Linked DNA regions of Arabidopsis thaliana. The main gene of each other region encodes a partner of the protein of the gene in region 3 in a complex. Each region holds a gene or a part of one and is shown on either strand. Other genes may lie near its edges.

Evidence for each region.
Region 1: XI-I (region 3) and WIP3 share a complex: the UniProt entries of both Arabidopsis thaliana proteins name them as parts of the LINC complex.
Region 2: XI-I (region 3) and SUN2 share a complex: the UniProt entries of both Arabidopsis thaliana proteins name them as parts of the LINC complex.

Annotation. Positions count from the first base shown.
Region 1 is NC_003074.8:4,335,355-4,342,202, reverse strand, and holds WIP3 (WPP domain interacting protein 3), read left to right. Parts: upstream 1-1,756; 5' UTR 1,757-1,766; coding exon 1,767-1,941; intron 1,942-2,218; coding exon 2,219-3,088; intron 3,089-3,219; coding exon 3,220-3,731; 3' UTR 3,732-3,917; downstream 3,918-6,848. Other genes in the region: AT3G13370 (formin-like protein), read right to left, coding at 1-539; AT3G13350 (HMG (high mobility group) box protein with ARID/BRIGHT DNA-binding domain-containing protein), read left to right, coding at 4,399-4,583, 5,059-5,137, 5,231-5,393, 5,490-5,537, 5,913-6,289, 6,375-6,482. UniProt on the Arabidopsis thaliana protein: Mediates and enhances the nuclear envelope docking of RANGAP proteins mediated by WIT1 and WIT2 in the undifferentiated cells of root tips.
Region 2 is NC_003074.8:3,355,357-3,362,411, forward strand, and holds SUN2 (SAD1/UNC-84 domain protein 2), read right to left. Parts: upstream 5,347-7,055; 5' UTR 5,167-5,346; coding exon 4,087-5,166; intron 3,488-4,086; coding exon 3,200-3,487; 3' UTR 2,932-3,199; downstream 1-2,931. Other genes in the region: AT3G10720 (Plant invertase/pectin methylesterase inhibitor superfamily), read right to left, coding at 36-227, 304-661, 1,425-2,225; ASD1 (alpha-L-arabinofuranosidase 1), read right to left, coding at 5,675-5,833, 5,916-6,062, 6,138-6,327, 6,408-6,464, 6,546-6,649, 6,739-6,810, 6,897-7,015. UniProt on the Arabidopsis thaliana protein: Component of SUN-protein-containing multivariate complexes also called LINC complexes which link the nucleoskeleton and cytoskeleton by providing versatile outer nuclear membrane attachment sites for cytoskeletal filaments.
Region 3 is NC_003075.7:16,011,060-16,018,429, forward strand, and holds the start of XI-I (myosin), read right to left. Parts: upstream 3,911-7,370; 5' UTR 3,734-3,910; coding exon 3,590-3,733; intron 3,477-3,589; coding exon 3,330-3,476; intron 2,470-3,329; coding exon 2,324-2,469; intron 2,229-2,323; coding exon 2,072-2,228; intron 1,891-2,071; coding exon 1,832-1,890; intron 1,591-1,831; coding exon 1,434-1,590; intron 1,285-1,433; coding exon 1,135-1,284; intron 1,045-1,134; coding exon 908-1,044; intron 817-907; coding exon 670-816; intron 576-669; coding exon 474-575; intron 339-473; coding exon 281-338; intron 198-280; coding exon 96-197; intron 1-95. Other genes in the region: SLOMO (F-box family protein), read right to left, coding at 4,912-4,998, 5,096-5,182, 5,289-5,352, 5,449-5,900, 6,082-6,280, 6,365-6,525, 6,608-6,760, 6,872-7,042 and 2 more. UniProt on the Arabidopsis thaliana protein: Myosin heavy chain that is required for the cell cycle-regulated transport of various organelles and proteins for their segregation.

The DNA.
Region 1 (6,848 bases), on a different chromosome or scaffold from region 3:
CCTTTTCCTGAATCATCAGGTCCACTTTTATAACCTCCGTAGATTATATTAACGGGTATTTTTGGTGGTGATGGTGCATTGTGACCTCTTCCTGAATCATCATGACGACTTTTATAACTTCCATAGATTATATTCATCGATACCTTTGGTGGTGATGGTGCACTTTTATAATCTCCGTAGATTATATTCATCGGTACCTTTGGTGGTAAAGGTGCATCGTGACCTTTACCTGAATCATCAGGTCCACTTTTATAACCTCCGTAGATTATATTCATCGGTACCTTTGATGGTAAAGGTGCATCGTGACCTTTACCTGAATCATCAGGTCCACTTTTATAACCTCCGTAGTTTATATTCATCAGTATCTTTGGTGGTAAAGGTGTATCGTGACCTTTACCTGAATCATCAGGTCCACTTTTATAACCTCCGTAATTTATATTCATCGGTATCTTTGGTGGTAAAGGTGCATCGTGACCTTTACCTGAATCATCAGGTCCACTTTTATAACTTCCGTAGATTATATTCACAGGAACCTTCATCGTTTTTATGAGCGGGTTAGTTTCTCCCATGACTGGTGGATTCAAACTTCTTGCATGGGCATAAGGTCCACGACACACAAAACAAGTGATAAGGGATATGAAAACTATTTTGGGAATCAAACAAGACATGGTGGGAGGCATCAACATTATTCGAGGTTTTTTTTAGGACTAGGAAATGGGGATGTGAAAATTGAAATTGGTAGAAAAAAAGAAGAAGAAGAAGTTGTCTTTTTTTTTGTTGATAGAAAATGATTGTTACAACTTACAATATATTAAAAATGTGAGTATTTGTATGTATATATAATAGATTATTGATTCACTCAAAACATATAATGTATTGTTATAATGTTTAATAATGATATGAATTATGTTAAAAAATAAATATTGTCTCAAACACAATATATCTAATCATAATTACTGTCTTAAACTATAGATGATATACAATAGTTACTTATGACAAAGTTTATCATTTTCAATTTTATTAGTACAAAATCAAATATTTTCATAGATATCAGTAAAAATACTATTTTGACAATTAACAATATTAAAATAAAATAAATTTTGTGGATATTGTAGATTCTAAAGTAAAATAACTATAATAAATTTTAAAATAAATGGTAATCACATTTTGTTACATGTTACTAAAATACTTAATTTATATTTAATGAATCAGTTTATCTGTCCATATTTTAAAATTTCACTAAAATTTTCAGAAATGTTTTGGAATTAGATTTCAGATTGTAAATAGTTTTCACTAACTTTTAATTATATAAATATATTAAATATTTACCCATTTCCTCAACAGAATGGAGATTTTACATTTATAAAACAATTCCATACTTCAAGAATTAGCATTTATTTATTTATTTTTTAAATCTGTTTTATACAAAAAATAGATAAAAAAATCATTTTAAGGAGTTGATTTTTTTAATGATTTGTAAATGTTCAAATCTGCATAAAACATTATTTTGATTTTTGAATATGATACCAAATAAATCTTTTAAATTTTAAAATAGAAAAATCACACTTTTCATTATTTTGAAAATATTTAAGTCTAGTTTTAATGGGCCTTATCAGGCCAACATGTTGGGCTCATATACACACTTTAATTCCGACATGTTGTGTACTCCAGATCGGACGGCCAGCTTGGCGCACTGGGTTTATGTCATGTGGGTCCCACGTATGATTCGCACCATCTTCATTATTTTTTCTCTTTCTTTATCTTTAATGTTTTTTTTTTCCTGTGTCTGTAGAATCATTTCGTCCACTTTAATCATTTTCGTTGATACAGCTTCTCCCGGTAATAATGTCGGCGGATTTCTCCGTCGCACTCTAAATTCTTTAGGATTTTGTTTCTCTTGCTCATCTGTAACTCAGGCAAGCTCTCGTTGGATTGTTTTAGGTACGCTTTAAATATTGATTCGAGTCGCTTCTCTCTGTTTTCATTAATTTTGTTTTTTCAAAAAATTTCTGGACTTGATTAGATGAGATTGTTGAATTGTGAATTGAGTTTTGTTCATTGTTGTTTCGGTAGATGAGGTTAGAATAACACTATACATCAGTTCTTTCTTTTGAAGTAGTGAGCTGAATCTAGTTCTTTAGCTGTTGGAAATTTTCAGATTTGTGTCTCTGATGACAGAGAATTTGATACCTTTTTTTTTGTTGTGAAATGGATTTAGGCATGAATGAGTCAGTCCCTGATTCTGTGGAAGACAACGGTAATTCAGTCCCTGCAAATGGATTATTAGTATTGCCTGATAATGATCATGAGGAAGGAGGTGTTGGATCACCTCAACGATCGAACAGCGTTGAATCTCCTGGTGGATCAGTACATTCTACGAGGAAAGGTTTTGGTTTGAAGAAATGGAGACGGATCAAAAGAGATGGTCCTGTGAGAGATGAGGCTGCTCCTGTTGATGATGGTAGTAAGTTACTGAAACGTGGATTGGCTGGTTTGGTGAATCCTCCTTCTAAACATGTAGAATTTTCTTCAGTTGAAGCAAGGCAGAGTAGTGAAGGCTCTGTTGGGTCAGTGAATATGGTGCATCATCCAGGGGTAGCCAACGGGTTTAGTCCCGATATAGGTTGTATGTTTGCTGTTGGGCAAGCGTTTGAGAAAAGTGAAGAGCATAGTGGTAATACCATAGGTGGAAAGAATGTAGTAGGAGGGAAGGTTGTTTCAGGTAGCCAAGAGAAACTCTGGAGTGATACCATCAAGAGGGCTAGCGAAGAGCGGGGGGATATCGAGAAGGAGAAGCCTTGTTCCAGCTTGGATTCCGACTTGAGAAGTAGTGATTTTGTGTTTTCGACTGGCTCGGTTTCTGTTGGTAACCATGGAGAGAAAGATGAGAGATTGACGATGAATTATATTGGGGGATTTAGCAATGAAGGTCAAGTTAAGGAGGAAGTTCAAACATATAGCAGAAGCGAAAACGGGAATAAAGAAGACGATGGAGAGAGTAAGAAAAACAACAATCATTGGGCAGATAAAGACGCACTTGCAGATTCTATCAGAAGCTTTGCAGTTCTGCAGGAAGTTCTTTGGAAAGGTTTGCACACGAACCTTGATTTTTGATATCCATGTGAATTGTTTCAATGTTCATGTCCTAAAGCTCCCATGTTTATATTATCAATGTTACATGATATTTCTAAACTAACTATGCGATTGAAACGTGTGCAGAGGTTCAAAGTTTCCAGGAGCTAGGTAAGGAATCTGTACTACTACATTCGAACACCGATGAATTGAGTTCAGACCAGCCAAGTCATCAAAATTGTAAAGAAGATAACTCAACATCCTCAGGATCAAAGGCACTGATCTTGAAGGAGAAGGTAAAACTTCTGGAACACAAACTCGAGGAAGCGAGAGCTGCTCTCGAGGCAAAGGAAGCTAGGATCCAAGAACTCGAAAACTCAAAGATTGAATCTGAACTTGAATGCATCTTCCAGAGAAAGATTGAAACTGAAATCGAACATTTGATGCTCACAAGATCTCTGAGTTCACTACAAGTACTCCAAGAAACTAAGAAGTTACATTCTCTGAAAGAAGATCCTGTATCAAACCGTGGAAACATCTTAGGAAAAACATGTAAGCTCGGTTTCTATATCTTGACACAATTGATCTTGCTCGTCTCTATACTTCGGTTTCTCGTCCTACAATTCTCTCCTGCTTCACGATTAGTAATACCAACTTGAAAAATTCCTTCTCCTTGTTGTGTTACCGAACATTTTTTTTGTTTCTCCAGATTGTAATAAATAAGGTCTCTCAAGGATATTGTCCCCATTGTTATAGTTAAATTACGATGTTTAAATTTCCCATCAACAACTAAAGAGACATTATTATTTTGTGAACTAGATTTTTGATATCGAATCCGATCACCGGTTATAATGGTTTGCCGACGGTTTTTGTGATTTGACTCAAGAGTGTAATAAAACCTTAACTTAAATCTTGGTTTTTGATTCAATCTAGATTCGGTTAATCAACCGGTCCGGTCTGGTTTTTAAAACAATAGGCCATTGTTGTAGGGAGTAGTTTAATCGGGGCAGAGGCTTATGCTATGGGCTTGGACTCTCAGGTTTCGTCTTAAACCTAATCAAAGTAATTTAAGCCGAAAACGGAAGGAACTAAAATTGGTGTCTTGACTAAAAATAATATAAAGGACATAAAATTAAAGTCCCCAGATAAAAGTTTGTATGATTTAGGGCAAAATCTCAGAAGATAAAATCATTCAAATTTGTGTGAATTTCGTTTAATCCTTATCCAATTTGTCCCAATTTATAATCTTATAAGAAAAATAAAAATCTGAAATACGGTGGTCTCAATTGCTCTTACCTTTACCAAGACGGCCATAAGAAAAAAAAGATGTCGACCGATATTTCACCACCCTACTCTCAAACTCACGTGGAGCCCGTTAATGGTTATCCTTCTGACAACAAGAGATGCGACGATTCCTCTGTTCCTGCCAAATATGATGATCTTGTCCGTAACTCTGCTCTCTTCTGGGAAAAGCTCCGAGCTTTCCTCGGATTAACCAGCAAGACTTTGAAGTCAGTTTCTTTCTTACCCTTTTCACATTTTTGTGAGACCTTTTCGTTTGGTTTAAGATTGTGGAAGAAAAAACCCAACTTTGTTTGTTTGTATCTCTCCCGAAGATTGGTTAGGGATTTAAGGCTTGAGGTGTTGTTATATTGTTTGGTGAGATTGAAAGCAATAGAATTAGATTTTGTTGCTCAGTGAAATGTTGAAAATTGTCAATTAGGGTTTAGTGGATTCCGGATTGGTGAAGTTTAAGCAGGAAGTGCGTTATGTCATGTGTATCGTCTGTTGAATTAGATTTATCGTATTCTTTACCTGTTTATATTGTTCATAAGGAAATGAAATCAAACTGGATTTAGTATTTACTAATCTGGATACTGTAATTATATCTATGAACGAGTTTAGGCTTAATGTGTGTTGTTTTGTCTCTTGTGTTTATTAATTGATCACTGTCTGGTAATGAAACATTTTCCGTCTCTGTAAAAGGGTTCCTACTGTGGGAGGAAACACTCTTGATCTGCATCGGCTTTTCATCGAGGTTACGTCTCGAGGTGGTATCGAAAGGGTATGAATGAGTTCATGTTACCGTTAATCATACTTTTGGGAGATTAATATTGTTCCATTGAGTATTGAAGTGTGTATGTTTTTTTTACTCTAGGTGGTGAAGGATCGGAAATGGAAAGAAGTGATTGGTGCATTCAGTTTTCCGACAACGATAACAAGTGCATCGTTTGTCTTGAGGAAGTATTATCTCAAGTTTCTTTTTCAGCTGGAACATGTGTATTACCTTGAAAAACCGGTGTCTTCACTCCAATCAACAGGTCTATTTCAGCACTAAAATTCTTATCGTTGTCTTACCTTTTCTTTCGTTGCTCTGTTACATACTGAGATAAGCCAAAATTCTCATGCTTTTCCAGATGAAGCATTGAAGAGCCTTGCCAATGAATCTCCAAACCCTGAGGAAGGTATAAGACACGTTTCTCTAACTCTTGTGGCTTTTTTATTCTTCCCTCCATATCTTTGTCCATTCATCAGTATGTAGTATGTTGTATTTAGTATTCCGTTGGATAGAAGTTTATTATTACAGATTCTCTTTAAAGAAGTAATGTCTGGTAGGCCTTTAATTCCCCAATCTGGTTCATTAGTTTTCTCACGTGACAAAGATTCCTGAGTTTAACGTGTTACAAATATTGGCTCTGTTTCACTCCTTTTAGACTGGAACAAATAAATATACACTTATCTTTCCTTTGATTCCATTCCTTATATGTTTTGAGTTTACCGCGTGTGTGTCTAGTAAAATTTTGACCGTGTGTCTTTGTGCTTCATTGTGGAACCTGCAGGTATTGATGAACCACAAGTTGGGTATGAGGTTCAAGGATTCATTGATGGGAAGTTTGATAGCGGCTATCTGGTGACGATGAAATTGGGTTCTCAAGAGCTGAAAGGTGTCCTTTACCACATTCCTCAAACGCCAAGTCAGTCTCAACAAACCATGGAAACACCTTCAGCCATTGTACAATCATCACAACGCCGGCATAGGAAGAAATCAAAGTTGGCTGTAGTCGATACTCAAAAACCCAAATGCCACAGGAGTGGCTACAACTTCTTTTTTGCTGAGCAGTACGCGAGGCTTAAACCTGAGTACCATGGACAAGAACGATCCATCACTAAGAAAATAGGACACATGTGGAGCAATCTCACTGAATCTGAGAAACAGGTAACCAATCATCATCGAATTATATCCACTTTTTTTTTTTTTTCATTAAACCAGTGTTTGCTTACAAATTTGTTCATCATTACAGGTTTATCAAGACAAAGGAGTTAAGGATGTGGAGAGATACAGAATTGAGATGTTGGAATATAAGTCTTCACATGAATCAGGAGCTACTGCTTCTACAGTGGCTCAGTAGCTTTTCTCCCTTTTGTTGTCTTACGTGTCTGTTGTAACATTTTTCCTTTTCTCTATAGAACTTGTTTTCTTTTTCTTTCTAAATGTAATGTTTTCTATCAGTTGGAGGATTTGTCAGCTTTATTATGGCTTTAGAGCTAGTGAGGAGGTTACTAACTGTGAACTAGTGTCTCTCTTGTTGTTTCTTTTAGTAAGTGCCATTTTTGTAGTGAATTACAGGCATATCCATATATCCAGATCTTTCTTCAAAAACATGGCGCATATGTTTCTTTTCGTTATGTTACTTGATGATATGTGATGTATCTTTATTAAGTCCCCGTCTGTAGTATCTTTATTAAGCTCAAAGTTCGGCGGTGGAGGCGTGGAG
Region 2 (7,055 bases), on a different chromosome or scaffold from region 3:
TGTGGAAAATGAAGCGGAAACAAAACTTATATTACCATATATATCGCATTCGCGATAGAATTGTCTAAGAGAATGGACGTAGAGAGTATCTTGATAGCCTTCAAAACTACACCGATAAAAACTTGATCCTTCCGCATTGTTCCTCAAAGCCACTGCCTGATGTTTTTCAGGTCCGGCTGTGTTTCTGAATGTAACATCAACCGCCATGAACCGCTCTCCAACCACAGCTAGAAAATAAAAATAAAACTATATATCATTAACTAAGTAATTCCAAATGACAAAAAGAGAGATAAGAATACCAACCGAAGCTCGAGCAATTATACGTAGTCCAACCATCAACAACATTATGGTTCCCTGTAATAATCGTCTTATTGATCCCATCTCCCATAAGCATTAAGTTCTTTTTGTTGATGGGAACAACAATATATTCTTCATAGACACCTTCTCTTGCGTAGATAACAAAGTAACCATCCTCTGGTCTAGTGTTATTAGGTGCGGCTGCAATAGCATCGGTGATGGTTGTGAAGTTGTCGGATTTGAACGGACCGACGATCACTGCTTTACTCACGAGGATGGAACCGCCGCTGGTCTCACCTAGCTCCCCTAAGTTCCGGCTAGTTTTCCGGCAATCTTTGTCGTTGTCGCATGTTTTACGTAAACCCTATACCAGAAAAAGAAAATGTGCTTAGTACATGATTAGCTTGTAGACTCATGCCTTTTTAAAATCAATGTTCATTGTAGCCACACATGAAATGACCGGGACACTCTTATGCACGTGAATACAGTTGGATCCGAATGGGGACCAAATTGATTTCTTTTGTTAAAGTCAAAGATAGGACTCATTTGATCATTGTTGAGTTGTACTAAAATGTGCGTAGGCCATGTGCCATTTACTCTCTTACGCGTGTTCTGGCTCACACACACAAAACAAGAGCACATCCATTTATGACTCGATCTAGAAAATTTTAGATATGCACGAATATTAAATCATTCCGTGCGTCCAAAGTAGTAAATTCATACCATATTTAACTTAGTATATGTCCTCCTACGATGCTTATCTATTCATACATGTATGTCCAAAAAGGCTTTTGCATAACCTTTCATTATTCATGTTTGAATTGTGGTGAGTGGTGACCATACAAAAATTATTATAAATCATCGATTTAAAAACTCTGTTTTGATTTTTTCTAAGGATTTATGATAAGAAGGCATATATATATATATATATATATAATGTTTTTGGTATTTCCCCAAATTCCTATTCTTATATCTCTATGCCAACCATTTCAAAAATATGTAATGTCTTTACAACTAGATTATTAACAACTTTATAATAATATGTAAAGGAATGTATAAAAGCTAGTATAAACAAACAAACAAAAACGAAAAAAGAAAAGAATTAGAAACAAGTTTTAATTAATTACCTTAATCAAAGTCTCGAGCGGTTCGCGATAGGTTGAGTTCCCACCACCAAGAATCTTCCCTTTGGAGGCTTTAAACCTCTTCAGGTTACGGTTAAGTGCGTGGCTCACAAGTCCTAACGAGATACTGTAAAGGCGAGTGAGATTCCCCATCGGCGAACCAATCGCGGCGGCGAAACCACTCTTAGCCTCCACGAGTCCGTCAAGACACGTCTGCTGATTCGTCACTACACCACTGAGAAGACTGTTCACATGCTCGACGAGAGCTGCCGTCATCACCTGCGCCGTCTTAAGCTCCGTCGTGACGGTTTCAAGGTAGTTCACACTCAGCTCCGATAACTCGCCGCAGTCCGCCACCGCCCCTATTTCCTCGGCCGTGGCCGAGCCTGGTTTGCTTTCCACGCGCCGCGCGTAACTGGTGATGACTTTGGATAGACGGCTTGCTTGCTTGAGGCATTGCTTTATAGTGAATTTGCCGTAACGGTAAGGATCTGACGGTGAGGATTTGACAGCGTTGAGGATCGTACGGCAAAGCTTAGGGTATGGAGTTGACTTGCAAGCGAGAGAAGGTGACTGAGACTGTGACGGAGGCAAAGAAGGTGGCTGTGACGGTGGCACGAATATTGGTGGCTGTGACGGAGGGAAGAATGGTGACTCTACCGGAGGCTCAAAAGGTAGCTGTGACGGAGGCTCAGAATGTGGCTGTGATGGAGATTGTTGTGATGAGATAAGCAGAGCACATGAGAGGAAGATAAAAGACAAGAACAAGAGAGAAGAAGTGAAGTTTAGTGTTTGCATTTTCATCCTTTTTGTTTTGTTTGTGTATTGATGGTGTTTGTTATTTTGGATCTAAAATCTGCTATATATATAGACTATACGAGGAGCTTTCTGCTATTTAATGAATGCATGGGCTCGAGGGAAACTGAATTTATCATTTATGTAATGCATGTTGGTCTAATAATTAAGGGTTATACTCGTTTTGGTCAAATGAAGAGTTTTTTTGGAGCCGGTGGTCCACCGTCACGACGACCAAACATGGGTTGACTTGGTTAGGAAAGGTTTCTTCATGTGATTTAACCGTAAAAAATGGCTATTTTTAGAGCTTAATTTTGTTTAGCTCAATTTGTTATGCCAGTTGACACTGTAAAAAATTAACATTAATCAGACATGTCAAAGATGAATTTGTATTTAATTTAATTTATAATCAAACAAGCTGTGTTGACTTGGAAGAGGGTTTCATATCTATTATTTGACCGTAGATTTTGCATGTGATGTGTTGGGAAGCTTTTAGACAAGGCAAGACGGTGCAGCCTAGAAGAAGAAGTCGTCACTTTGTCGATTACGCAATTCACACTAACAAGTTATGGTCCATCTATATACACACTCTTCCTATTCATCACATATCGTTGTAATACCAAGTACCCAAGGTAACCATTAATAATCCAAATTCAATATTTGTTTCAACTAATGAAATATGTATACTCTATTAGAATTTGTATGATTTGTTTTAGGTGAAAGCTTAAATTGAAACTCTGTTACAAAACCAAAACCGGACATCAAACTAAGATCTATATTATTCAATTCGGAGGATACATACCCTGACCAAATAAACCGAACCAAAACAGATTTGAAGCTAATAATCACGAATACAACCAAATGATTCTGATTACAGACTAAGAGAAGCTTTCCCACCACATAAACTAACACAAAAAAAGAAGAGAGATATCTATTAGAGGGAATGTTACAAAGAGAAGAAAAGTTTGACGTGGACTTTCAGATCAAGCATGAGCAACAGAGACTGAGTCTAGTTCACGGCCATGAACCCTGAAGCGGTAGATGCAAGTGTGTGAAGAGCTTCCATGGTTGGAATTGAAGTCTAGCCTGACAGTGTTGACAAGTCCTGAGTGAGCAGAGTCTGCAATGTCGAATGTCTGTGCATTGGACCTGTCTAAGTCGTAACTGAATTCTGTAAGAAGGGGCATTGTCTCAGTCTCCATATCTATGTCACCTAGCCATCCTGATACACGGCAATCCTTTGGGGCGCTCGATCTGTCATATGCTACAGCCTGTTCGATTAAATGGTGCATAACATAACCGTAAGATTAGTATTGCCTTTTAGTGGTCAGACAAGAAGAAATTTATCAGACAAATGATCACAAGGATGAACAATGATGGAAAGCAATGTGTGACCATCACATTACACACTCTTGAGACTATTTCCCTTCAGCTACTGTTTCCTAAGGATATCCGTAAACAGTGAATATTACAGTTCCACTAATTGTAAACTTACAAGCTCTTCCCATACATACGGTTCTTTTCTCTGTCAACGATGTCCCAAACAAAGCACAACAACACAGTGGCATTGATATTAGACAAAGGAACTGCTAAAGCTAGTGATTTGCAGAAAATAACAATAGGTAAAATCCTCCTCAATGCATATTGTCACAGCTAGTGCCTAAACTAAACCTCAAACTATAAGAACTCAAATTCACAAAACTAGTTTCTTGCCCTCTATTCGATAACCTATTGTCACCAGCAATCCAATCCGAAGTACAGGGCATCTCAATACCAACAACATTTAACAGAGAACCCTTCTTGAAGGCTCAAATTAACATATAAAAATCAATCATTTTGTGAAAGTTTAGTATTGAGATGTTAGTACTACCTTAGAGACATGTTCCAAAGTAACAGCTTCTGGAATTATTGGTGCTCTTAGCCTGACTAGAACATATCCATTGCTTCCTTTCAGAGGAAAACACTGTCCAGGCTCCCCGAAACTCGGAGTTAACATCTTAACCGCTTTGCTATGAACCCGTCTCCTGCTTGTCCCAAACCAATTACGCCCATTTCCAACAAGAAACGGATCCGAATGCCCCATTACAAAAGCTCCACCAGACGCTAACGCATAATCTACTCGACCAAGGCCATCTGCAACATGTTTCCCTATCTCTTTCTCCACTATGTCACGAGCATAAGCCCTCAGTTTATCAATGTTAACATCAGAATCACCGACCTTACCCTTCTTCAACTCCTCGTAAACTCTCTCTAACTCCTCTCTAGACACCAAAGGTTTAGCATTTAACTCATCTACAGAAACCTGTAACCTCTCTGTCTTAGACTCTACCTTCTTCAACTCACTATGTAACACAGAAGATGTGGAATCTATCGTCTGCCTCAATGCTCTTGATTCACTATCCATCTTCTTATCAAGAAACTCAACTTGAACCTGCATCATCTTCGTCGTAGTCTTCACCAAACCATCAACTGCAGAAATCCGACTCTCCAATTCCGAAAGCACCATTTCCGTTTCAATTGGGAAATTCGAAGAAGACAGAGACGAATCCTTCAAAGTCAATTTCCTAATCAACTGAATCAATCCAACAAGTAACAAAAGAGCCCCAAATTGCTTCGCGAATACCCTAACCACTGTCTTCCATTTCCCTCTATCTATCTTATTCCCCTGAGACTTCCGCGTCCGACGCTGCGTGGTGGTTGTATTAGTCCCCGTCGCGGTGGATCCTGATTTCCTTGTCACCGGACCTACGTCGTAGGTGTTGGATCTCTCACCGGCAGCCTCGGCGCGAATCAGATCCTTGTTCGTACCAGCAGACGACTCTCCAATTGCCGCATTGGCATGAGATTCGCTCGGCGGGAAATCAAAATTAGATTTCTTCTCACCGGAGAGAACCGGCGTCCGCCTTATTGTCCTAGGACTAGCGGTGATTGACACCGTTGACGCCGACATGATCTTCAATTTTGAACTACAGAATTCGAAATGCTCTTCCTTATGAATAAATAAACCCTAATTTTGACTACAGAGAGAGAGATTTGAAATGGAAGAAGAGTGAGGAAGTTTATATAGGAGAGAGATCACTACAAAATTCAATTTTGAAAATCTGAATCGTGTGTTCTTCAGTTTCGCCATTTTTATTTGTTTTGATGCTCCTCCATTTTTTTCAAAATTCATTATGATGGGCTTTTAAAAGCCCAATAATGGAAATAAAATGGCCCAGCCCACTTTCACGCCTCGTCATCTTCTTTTATGCTAAGAAGAAACTGTTGCTTCATCATTCTTGCATATCAAGATATCTAGAGTCGAGATAAGCTCATGATTAAAGAAAGTAAATTTATTCACCAGACTATTATTATATATACACAAGGGTACGTTATAAGCATTTATGGAATGTAATTAGATTTGAACCACAAAGAGACTTTTGACATGAAAGTTGATACTTCCTTGTCATTGTTTCTCTTCACACAGTGGTAGTTTTCTGATGGGAAGAAGAATCAGAGATTGGCATTCTTATCTTTGCAGATTCCTTCAACAAATCGAATGAAGAAAAGGAATGTGGCGGGAGAACAACGGTCATATCCTCCTCTGCCAACTCTAGCAAGCTTTCATGTGGTACAACCTGCAAATAAAAACCAATAAGAACATGGGAACACTCAGAATTTGTGATGATAATGATGTTTCTTCCATCTCTTGATTTTTACCTTCTCTGGCTGTGAGAAGGAATTTTCATCCATCACATTGGTAGAGGTAAGTACTGTCTTCTTTGATCCCGAAACTCTCATCACGTTCGGGTCCAATCCAGTTACCAACACTTGCATATTTTCTGAGTTAGCTCCGAAGTTTACAGCCTGCAAATAACAGATTTTGAAACAGTTTTTTAGGGTCAATATCAGAGCTCCGGTTGAATCTTTCACTCGGTTTACCTTTATGCGTATGTAATCTTTGCCATTGTTTTTCCAAGAGATAGCAGATGCAACAAGAGAAGTAGAGTTTCCCTTGAGTGTTGAAGTGAGAAGAGTTGCTCCGCTTGACTCTGCAAAAAACCGTTGAACCCAATAGCTAGGTGTTCCATATAGATGAGAGGAGTTGAAGACTATTGCATCAGGGTTCCACCTGAAACCAATTTAACAATTTGAGATTATTGCCTTATCTTCCTGAGTAACCATTCGAACGGAAAAGTAAGTGAGAGATACCGTCTATCATTTGTGTTCACAAAGAGTGGAGCATAACTTGCCATTTCAACAATGTCACTGCAAAAAGTCATAAGATGTTTAACTTATTTGATGTTTTTAGTTGAGATCAAAGCCTGGGAAGAGAAATTCAAAGGGAACCTATTCTTTTCAAGACCAATGAGAAACGCAGCTTCTGCAAGAGAGGCAAGAAGGCTTCCTGTACCAGCATCTTTTCCAGTAACAGCATATTCACTGACAAAAGCCTGTAAACAAAGTTCACGAGTGAGTAAAACGCTGAAAGCTTCATCTTGTGTTTGTTGGAATTAAGTTTTGTTATAATCTATTACCGCACCTTTGGACCTTTGCGTGAAGTGCGATCAAATTGATGATACATGGAAAACAAATTGCTAGCAGAAGTGTAAATCTGTGACAAAAAGGAAACACTTTTTTCAGGCGGAAGAGAGAACACAAGACAACGGTTACAGTTTCTGTCAAGATAGAAAATTTTACGTGATAGTCATAGTAATCAGCTGGGTGGTCGAGTGGATGAGAGGATCCATCGCAGTTGGAGATGATTTTGATATCTGGATAGGCTTTCTTGATAGCATCATAGAACACAATGTAGTTTCCTGTAAAGTTGTAATCTCATTTAGTGTCAAAGATGCTCAA
Region 3 (7,370 bases):
TGCAAGTTTCAAAGATCACAAAAGGCGAAGGGGCAAGAAAGTAGAACAGAACAGGATCTAAAATCTTAATCTAATTAAAATAGAGAGAAACGTACCTTCTCAATAAGGTCCAAGACATCTTGGTTGTCAATAAACTCGATATAACTCCAATTAATTTCTTCTTTTCTGTACTCATCCTGCTCCATCTTGAATACATGCTGAAAACAGACCAGAGACCATAAGGAGAGGAAGCAATATACTAAATCTGGCAAAACATTTGAAAATGAGTTCCCTATATTACCTCGTTGAAATGTTGCTGCAGCTTTTCATTTGCAAAGTTGATGCAAAATTGTTCAAAACTGCAGAATGAATCAGCCCAGATAAAGTTTACACAGTTCACAGCTAAACATAGTGCACCATATATAACTAACAAAGAATTGGGGCTGAGAAAGGAAAGAACTATCATTTAATTAGTTCCATGGATCATCGCTAACCTGTTATTCTTAAAACATTCAAAGCCATAAATGTCCAGGACTCCTATTTGAAAACGAGATTCTGGATCTTGCCCAACAGACTTATTGATCTTATCAACCAGCCTGACAGAAGCATAAAACGAATAGTTCAAACATAAGTGTAGTACATCAACAAAACATCCATTAAATGAAAGGATTAAGAAAGTCGAAAGCAAACCAGTCAAATAGATGGGCGTAAACAGTCTTCGCGAGGGTATCCCGGCTAGTAACAGCAGCATTAGGGTCAAGTGCTTTGATAATGATACCTTCACGGGTCAGAATTGAACGTGTGCAGAGCGAAGCCAGCAAAAGATTTGCATCACACCTGATTAATTTTGCATGGATACAACAAAATAAACAAGCTATTTCTTCGTATGCATAATTAAAAATGAGTACTATCAGAAAATTTTATGTACTTGAAAAGATCAGCAGCCATCTGCAGATGATGTCTAGATTCCGGATCCTTTACCACTGAAGAGTCGTGCTCTCTCCCTGAGGAAAACTCAACATTTCCAAGATGTAGAATCGCAGCAAGTGTGCGAAATATCCCTTCCTGATAAATGATTTGTGCAGGAAACAAGCAAGGAATTTCAGAAGCTGGCAGAAGAAAAACATATGAAAATTCAATTAGAAGTCGTTATACCTGCTCATCCTGACTTATGCCCACAATATCCATTGCCCTCCTTGTATTCTTATACTCTTCTGCGCTGCTGACTCCTTCTAATTCATAGGTCTTGCTTTGATTTAGATAATGAAATTGACGAGGGTTGCTTAGTTTATATTTCTCAGCGTCCTAAGCAAAATAAGAACATTTACAGATTAGTAATTAGCGTAGGTAAATTGACAAACTCAGCGAGAAAAACCTGGCGTAGCTCAATCAGATAATAAGAAAACCAAAACCAATCTCTTATGACATGTATATAGAGCTGTAAAAAGAATTACATTCCCCGAAGCGCACAATTGATAAAAACAATGATAATTCCTCTCGGGGTCTGTTATCCGGACAACACGTGATCTCTCCAGAAGATAGGTTCTGATTGCGGCACCAGATATTCTACCATTTGTGTCAAACTGGATTTCGACAAACTTTCCAAAACGGCTGAACAGCAAAAGAAGATCAGTAGATTGGTCAGTAGATTCGTCTAAAAGCTAGGCACACAAAATTTCAACCAAAAGGTTTACTAAAACCATATCAACATCATAAAGTGCTGTTATCACTGGGTATTAAGGATACTATCATGAAAAATTTGTTGACAAATGACATAAGAGCAATTAAAGATACACCTCTCAATTTTCATTGAAAAAATAAACAGAAAGAAAAAAAAAAATCAATAACCCACCTGGAATTATCATTTCTAACTGTTTTTGCATTGCCAAATGCTTCCAAGAGAGGATTTGACTGCAGAACAAGAATACTTAAATTAGAATAGATAACTCGCAAATAAAGAAAGTCAAACATGATCACCCCTAAATATTTATCTGCAAACAAATACCAGGGGAGGAAAACAAAGGCATCTATCCAGTTCTTTTTTTCTCATTGAACAAGATAGAAGACACAAATTTTATAACCAAAATCTTACTTCAAGGACTTGCTGCTCAACACTTCTATCATCGTCAGTAGCACGTCCCCCAACAAATGTAAGATACTGCATGATTAGTTTGGTTGTCTCAGTTTTTCCAGCTCCACTTTCACCGCTAACAAGTATTGACTGACTTCGACTGTCGTCAATCATTGCTCTGGGTTATAAAGAATAACTATGGTTAATAGATTAACATGACTGATAGTAAGATTTTAAAAAATCAGAAACATTAGAGAAAAAAGAGTGGATCACCTGTATGCAACATCAGAAACTGCAAAAACATGAGGACTGAGCTCACCGAATGGTGCTCCCATGTACTGTTCCATCATGTGCCCATTGTAGAGATGTGGAAGCTTTTTGAATGGATTAACAGCGATCAGAATGCTTCCAGTGTATGTCTGAAAAAGAAGTCGAACGTATTTGTAAGAAGATAATGCAGTCATGAATGATTTACTATTGGAACTGCGTAAAAAGCTGACAGTTATGAGTGGCAAAAAGAATGATACAGGAATTATTACCACCAATACTTCCAACTAAATATTATCATCTCAATGGGGACATAAATAAATTAGACACCAAGCTGCCACCAAATGTTTTACAAAAGGGCAAGCCAGCTGAGTACAAAACTGTCTAAAAAATAGATACTTTCACCTACTAAATACGGAACAGAAGCTCTCCATAACTTTAGAAGGAATATTGAACCTACAAATAATTCACAGTCACAGGGCAGTCCAACAAACTAACAAAAAGTTGTTACGAATACACAAGGTTGATTATCCCGCTCCCGCCAATAATATTGTTAATATTGAAAAAAGCAATAGTTAGGGTTAGATCACAAGATGTTTGAAGTGCGATTAGATACCAAATAGGCAAGTAAATGCCTGTAATGATATATGCATTATGTCACAATAAATTTCTTCACTTCGATATCTATCTTTTTCGGCTAAATAATATATCAGGTCACATCTAGATGCATCCATCATAAAGAACCTGAATCCACTTCACATGGAAACATGTCTTACACCACATATTAATACACAAGAAACTCCAAAAGCAACAGTAACTCGTTCTAGAGGAAAACTCCGGCCAGTGAGTACACTAATACCACTACGAAAATGAGTAAACTTCCATACGGAATGAAATCCGACTCAATAAAGTACCCCCGGAAGTATAGAAACTAAAAATTCAAACTCCAAATATACTCAGAAAGACCTCTCAATAAACAATACCAAAGAAAAAAAGAGTGAAAAGAACTCACATAGATATCATTCAGAGCATATCTCCTCTGTAGATTATAAAGAACACCAGCTTCGTGCAAGTATGTCAGTTTGGTCATATCATCCACTCCATTATGCTCTTCATCGTCAGGATCCCTCCGAAATAGCTTTTCCGGGGAAACAAAAACCTAAAACCCCAGAAAAAAAATCGCACAACAGCAAAAATTAGCATGAATAAAGCATGAAGAAGAGGAAGAAGAAGAAACAGAGCTAATTCAGCAGAAATAACGGTTAATCAGACCTTCTTCCCAGTAGAAGTTTCAACATGGAGTTTGTTATCAAAAGAATCGAGGACATCAGCAGCAATCCAAGCCAAATCCTTATCTTCGACCCAAACCTTGTCGCCCTTGCGCAGATTCAATTCCATTGGAAGACAATTTCTCATGAACTCGTGAAGAGCTCGACGAGAAAACCCTAGAGAATTAGATTGGGGGAAGCAAGAGTCATAGAGAGAGAAAGAGAGTCCGTGAGGTTGCGCCAGAGAATTTTTCAAATTTCAAAATGAAGAAGAATTGAGAAACCCTAAGGAGATAGAGAGAGAAGGGGCGAAATTTTACTACTGTGGAGTTTTTTTTTTTTAAAGGTTCAAAGTTACTTAAACCGCTACCCAAAAAAGTTCCCAAAAGCAACAAAAAAAAAAAAGAGCATCAACAACAACAATTACTTCCCGCCCTCTCGGATTTTGCATTAAAAAACAAAAGAAGACTAGATCCAAAACAAAAACACAGAAGTTTTTAGGGATAAAAATTTACGTCACATTCCGGAGTAAATGCCAAGTTTATTATCTTTGATTCGAATCATTTATAGGGTTTAATCCTTACTCGCAAAATTGATTTCACATTAGTAAAACAAACTGTGTAGTTAATTTACTGACGCTAAAAACTTGTTATTTTTAGTAATTTAGCAAATTAAAAATAGTAAGTCAAAAATGTAGAAGGCAATATTTGAATATAACATTCTTAAACGATAGTTAGTGAGGTTTATTTATATTTATTATAATTACTAGATCTCTTTTATAGAGAAAATATTCCAAAATTTGTTGTCGATTATTGTTGTTGTAATTTCATATATGGTGATGAGAGTCCAAATAAGAGTTTGGGGGAAGAAGAAGTCCAAATTATTATCATCCAATACGCATGAGTCCAAATTTACATTCCAGATTTCTTCCTTCATTCATATTTTAGACTTTAGTTTCCAAAAAATATACTAAATTTTTCTTACCCCCTACTTATTCCAAAAGTTTTATTTAATTTTTATCTTTGTTATGTGAGTCAATGTGGATCAAAGCTTAAAAGGTAAATTGATAAGGTAAATATAAGATCTACATATAACAGTAGCAACAATATCATCAACCACGTACACAAAAAAAGTACTAATGTTGTTTAGGTTTGTGTCATCACACAAGCATCCTAAGAAGGCCACAGTACAAACTCCAGAGGCCTATATGCACTACTGAAACTTATGACTTGGAGCCATTTACAACCCAAACACCACACCACACAACACATTATTTCTATAATCTGCAGAAAAAGTTGTATATAATCAAACATTTGGCGCAAAACCCTAATCTTGCAAGAGATTTGGACTGCTGAAAACGCGTTTCAAACTAGGGCACACTGTTCGGAACTTTGACATGCTCACCGAGGATATCTGTTAATTCACCAAGACAAGGTTTTAATTGTTACATAAAAATGGATTACTTGCTAAGTTTTCAATATCGAAGTTAACACTCGTTTATTGTTAGTACCTTTGGACAGAAACGAAGATCCAATGTCTCGAGTGAGCTGCATCCTGATATAGCCGCTTCAACTCCTGCTTCGTCCATGTTACAAGACTACCAAAGACAAAAGGTACCAAAGTGTGTTTAGTGGTAACATATAGACCCAAGCTTAAGGTACCAAAGTGTGTTTAGTGGTAAAAGTTACGGAGCAAAAACATACCTGAAGAAAGAGACTAGCTAATCTTGGACAGCCGAGCTTCAATACTTCCAGAGAGCAACAGTTGCTAGACAATTCGAAATGGAATTAGCAATAGAATAAGACCACTCATTTCATGGAAGATAAAGAATATAAGTTATCTAGCAAATGCAAAAGCTCAAACCTTAAATTAAGTAAAACCAGGTTGGAACAGGTGAGATCAACCTCCTTCAGATTGACCGATAACGAAAGGTTCAGTGTTGATAAATGGTAAAAGCGAGCTGCAGGTGGTATCAGCACTTTTCTAATATTGGGGCAACCCACACAGTTTAGGTTTTGCAGTAACCGATTGGCTGTTTCAGCTGGTTCCTGGGTATTGTCACTAGAACTGTAGACCCCAAAGTAATCAAAAAGATGTACACTGGTTGAACCCCAATCCAGGTCATGCATGTTTACACATCCGTTCAAGCTCAAATGGGTCAAGTGTGTGCAGCACGCAAGTAGATCATCTATCGCAGTCTGACAGAGAGTTCCATATGACAGGTCCAACTCCTCAAGTGCCGGTAAAGCACCTTCTTTGTATAGAGGCTCCAATGATGAGTCAGTAAGATACTTACAGGCTTGTAATTTGAGTACCTAAACAATAAAAAGTCTCAAAGTAAGCCCAAAAGCAATATGAATCATGAATAGCTGATATACAAAGAATGCACACAACAACATAACTCAAGAAGTTTTCATTGGCAAGATAATGTATATGCTCTACTGCTGACGGAAAGGGAAACATCCAGCATCATACAAGTCTTAATGCCTTAATTACCTTAAGTTGAATACAGGACTTGAAGACGGGTTCCAAATTCATCAAGAAAGTGTACGATAAATCAAGAACAGTCAAATTTGGGAGCCCGTTCAAGGAAGACAAGCCATCAGAGCCAATAGACGGGCATGACATTAGCACCAATGACTCAATGAGTGGGCAAGAAGCAGTGGTTGCAGACAGACAGTCATCCCTCAGTTGACTGGAATGGGGGAAAATGATTAGCAGCACGATAATATCAGTCACATAAATAGAGAAAAAAACAAAAAAAAAAACAAATAATTACCTGCAGAAAGACGCATCTAAAGATGTTAATAAAGGACACATAATGGATGCTTCAGACAGTACACCACAACCTTTCAATTCAAGGGACACCATATAAGGTGCTTCGATATTGAGCACACTCAATTTTGGGCATATTCCTAAATTTAGAGACCGCAGAGCGACCTATTCACAACAAGAAGGAAGAAGCAAGAAATCCATCAGTTAAGATATGTTGGTTATTTGATATGAGAAAAGTAACACTCACAGGTTGGAAGAATGCAGTTTCAAGATGATCACATCCATCCAAACAGATCTGCTCTATGCGAGGGCACTTCAACTCAAGAGAAGTAACAGCACGACAGCCAACAAGGGAAAGACTTGCTAGCGATGAATTGCAGAACCGCACTGCTGTTAAACTCTACAAGATGATCAGAAAATTATAATCAATTAACCAACCAGCGAAATATCACCACCGCCGATTTTCATTTCAGTAACTGTTTCACTATAAATGGAAGAAACTGTATCACACCTCACAGTTGTCAAGAATCAATGACTTCAGCATTGGGCATCCACCATCATCACTAAATATTTTGCAAACACTGTTAGACAATGATTCACAATCAGAGAGATCCACTTCTTGCAAGGAATGGCATTGTAGAACTAATGTCGTCAAATTCTCCTGTTTCTGCAGGGCTAATCTCTGAAATCAAAACAAAGAATTATCAACAAGTTTATCAGATCAAAATTTTCAGCCAAATAGAACTGCAATAACAAAACCATCATAACTAAGTACATACTCGAAGGGCGTTGGAAGTGATTGTGATACGGCGAAGCGCTGGACAGTTTGAAACAGTGATCGACGAAAGCATGATGCTTTGCAAGTTCAGATCTGTAAATCTGTTAAACACAGCGAAAAGAAGATAACTGAGTGAAATAATAAGAAAGGTATGACTACTCATCACAATATCTGCAGGTTGAAAGGAAACCAAAGATGAGGACTATACTTGCGACAATGGACTAGGCTTATA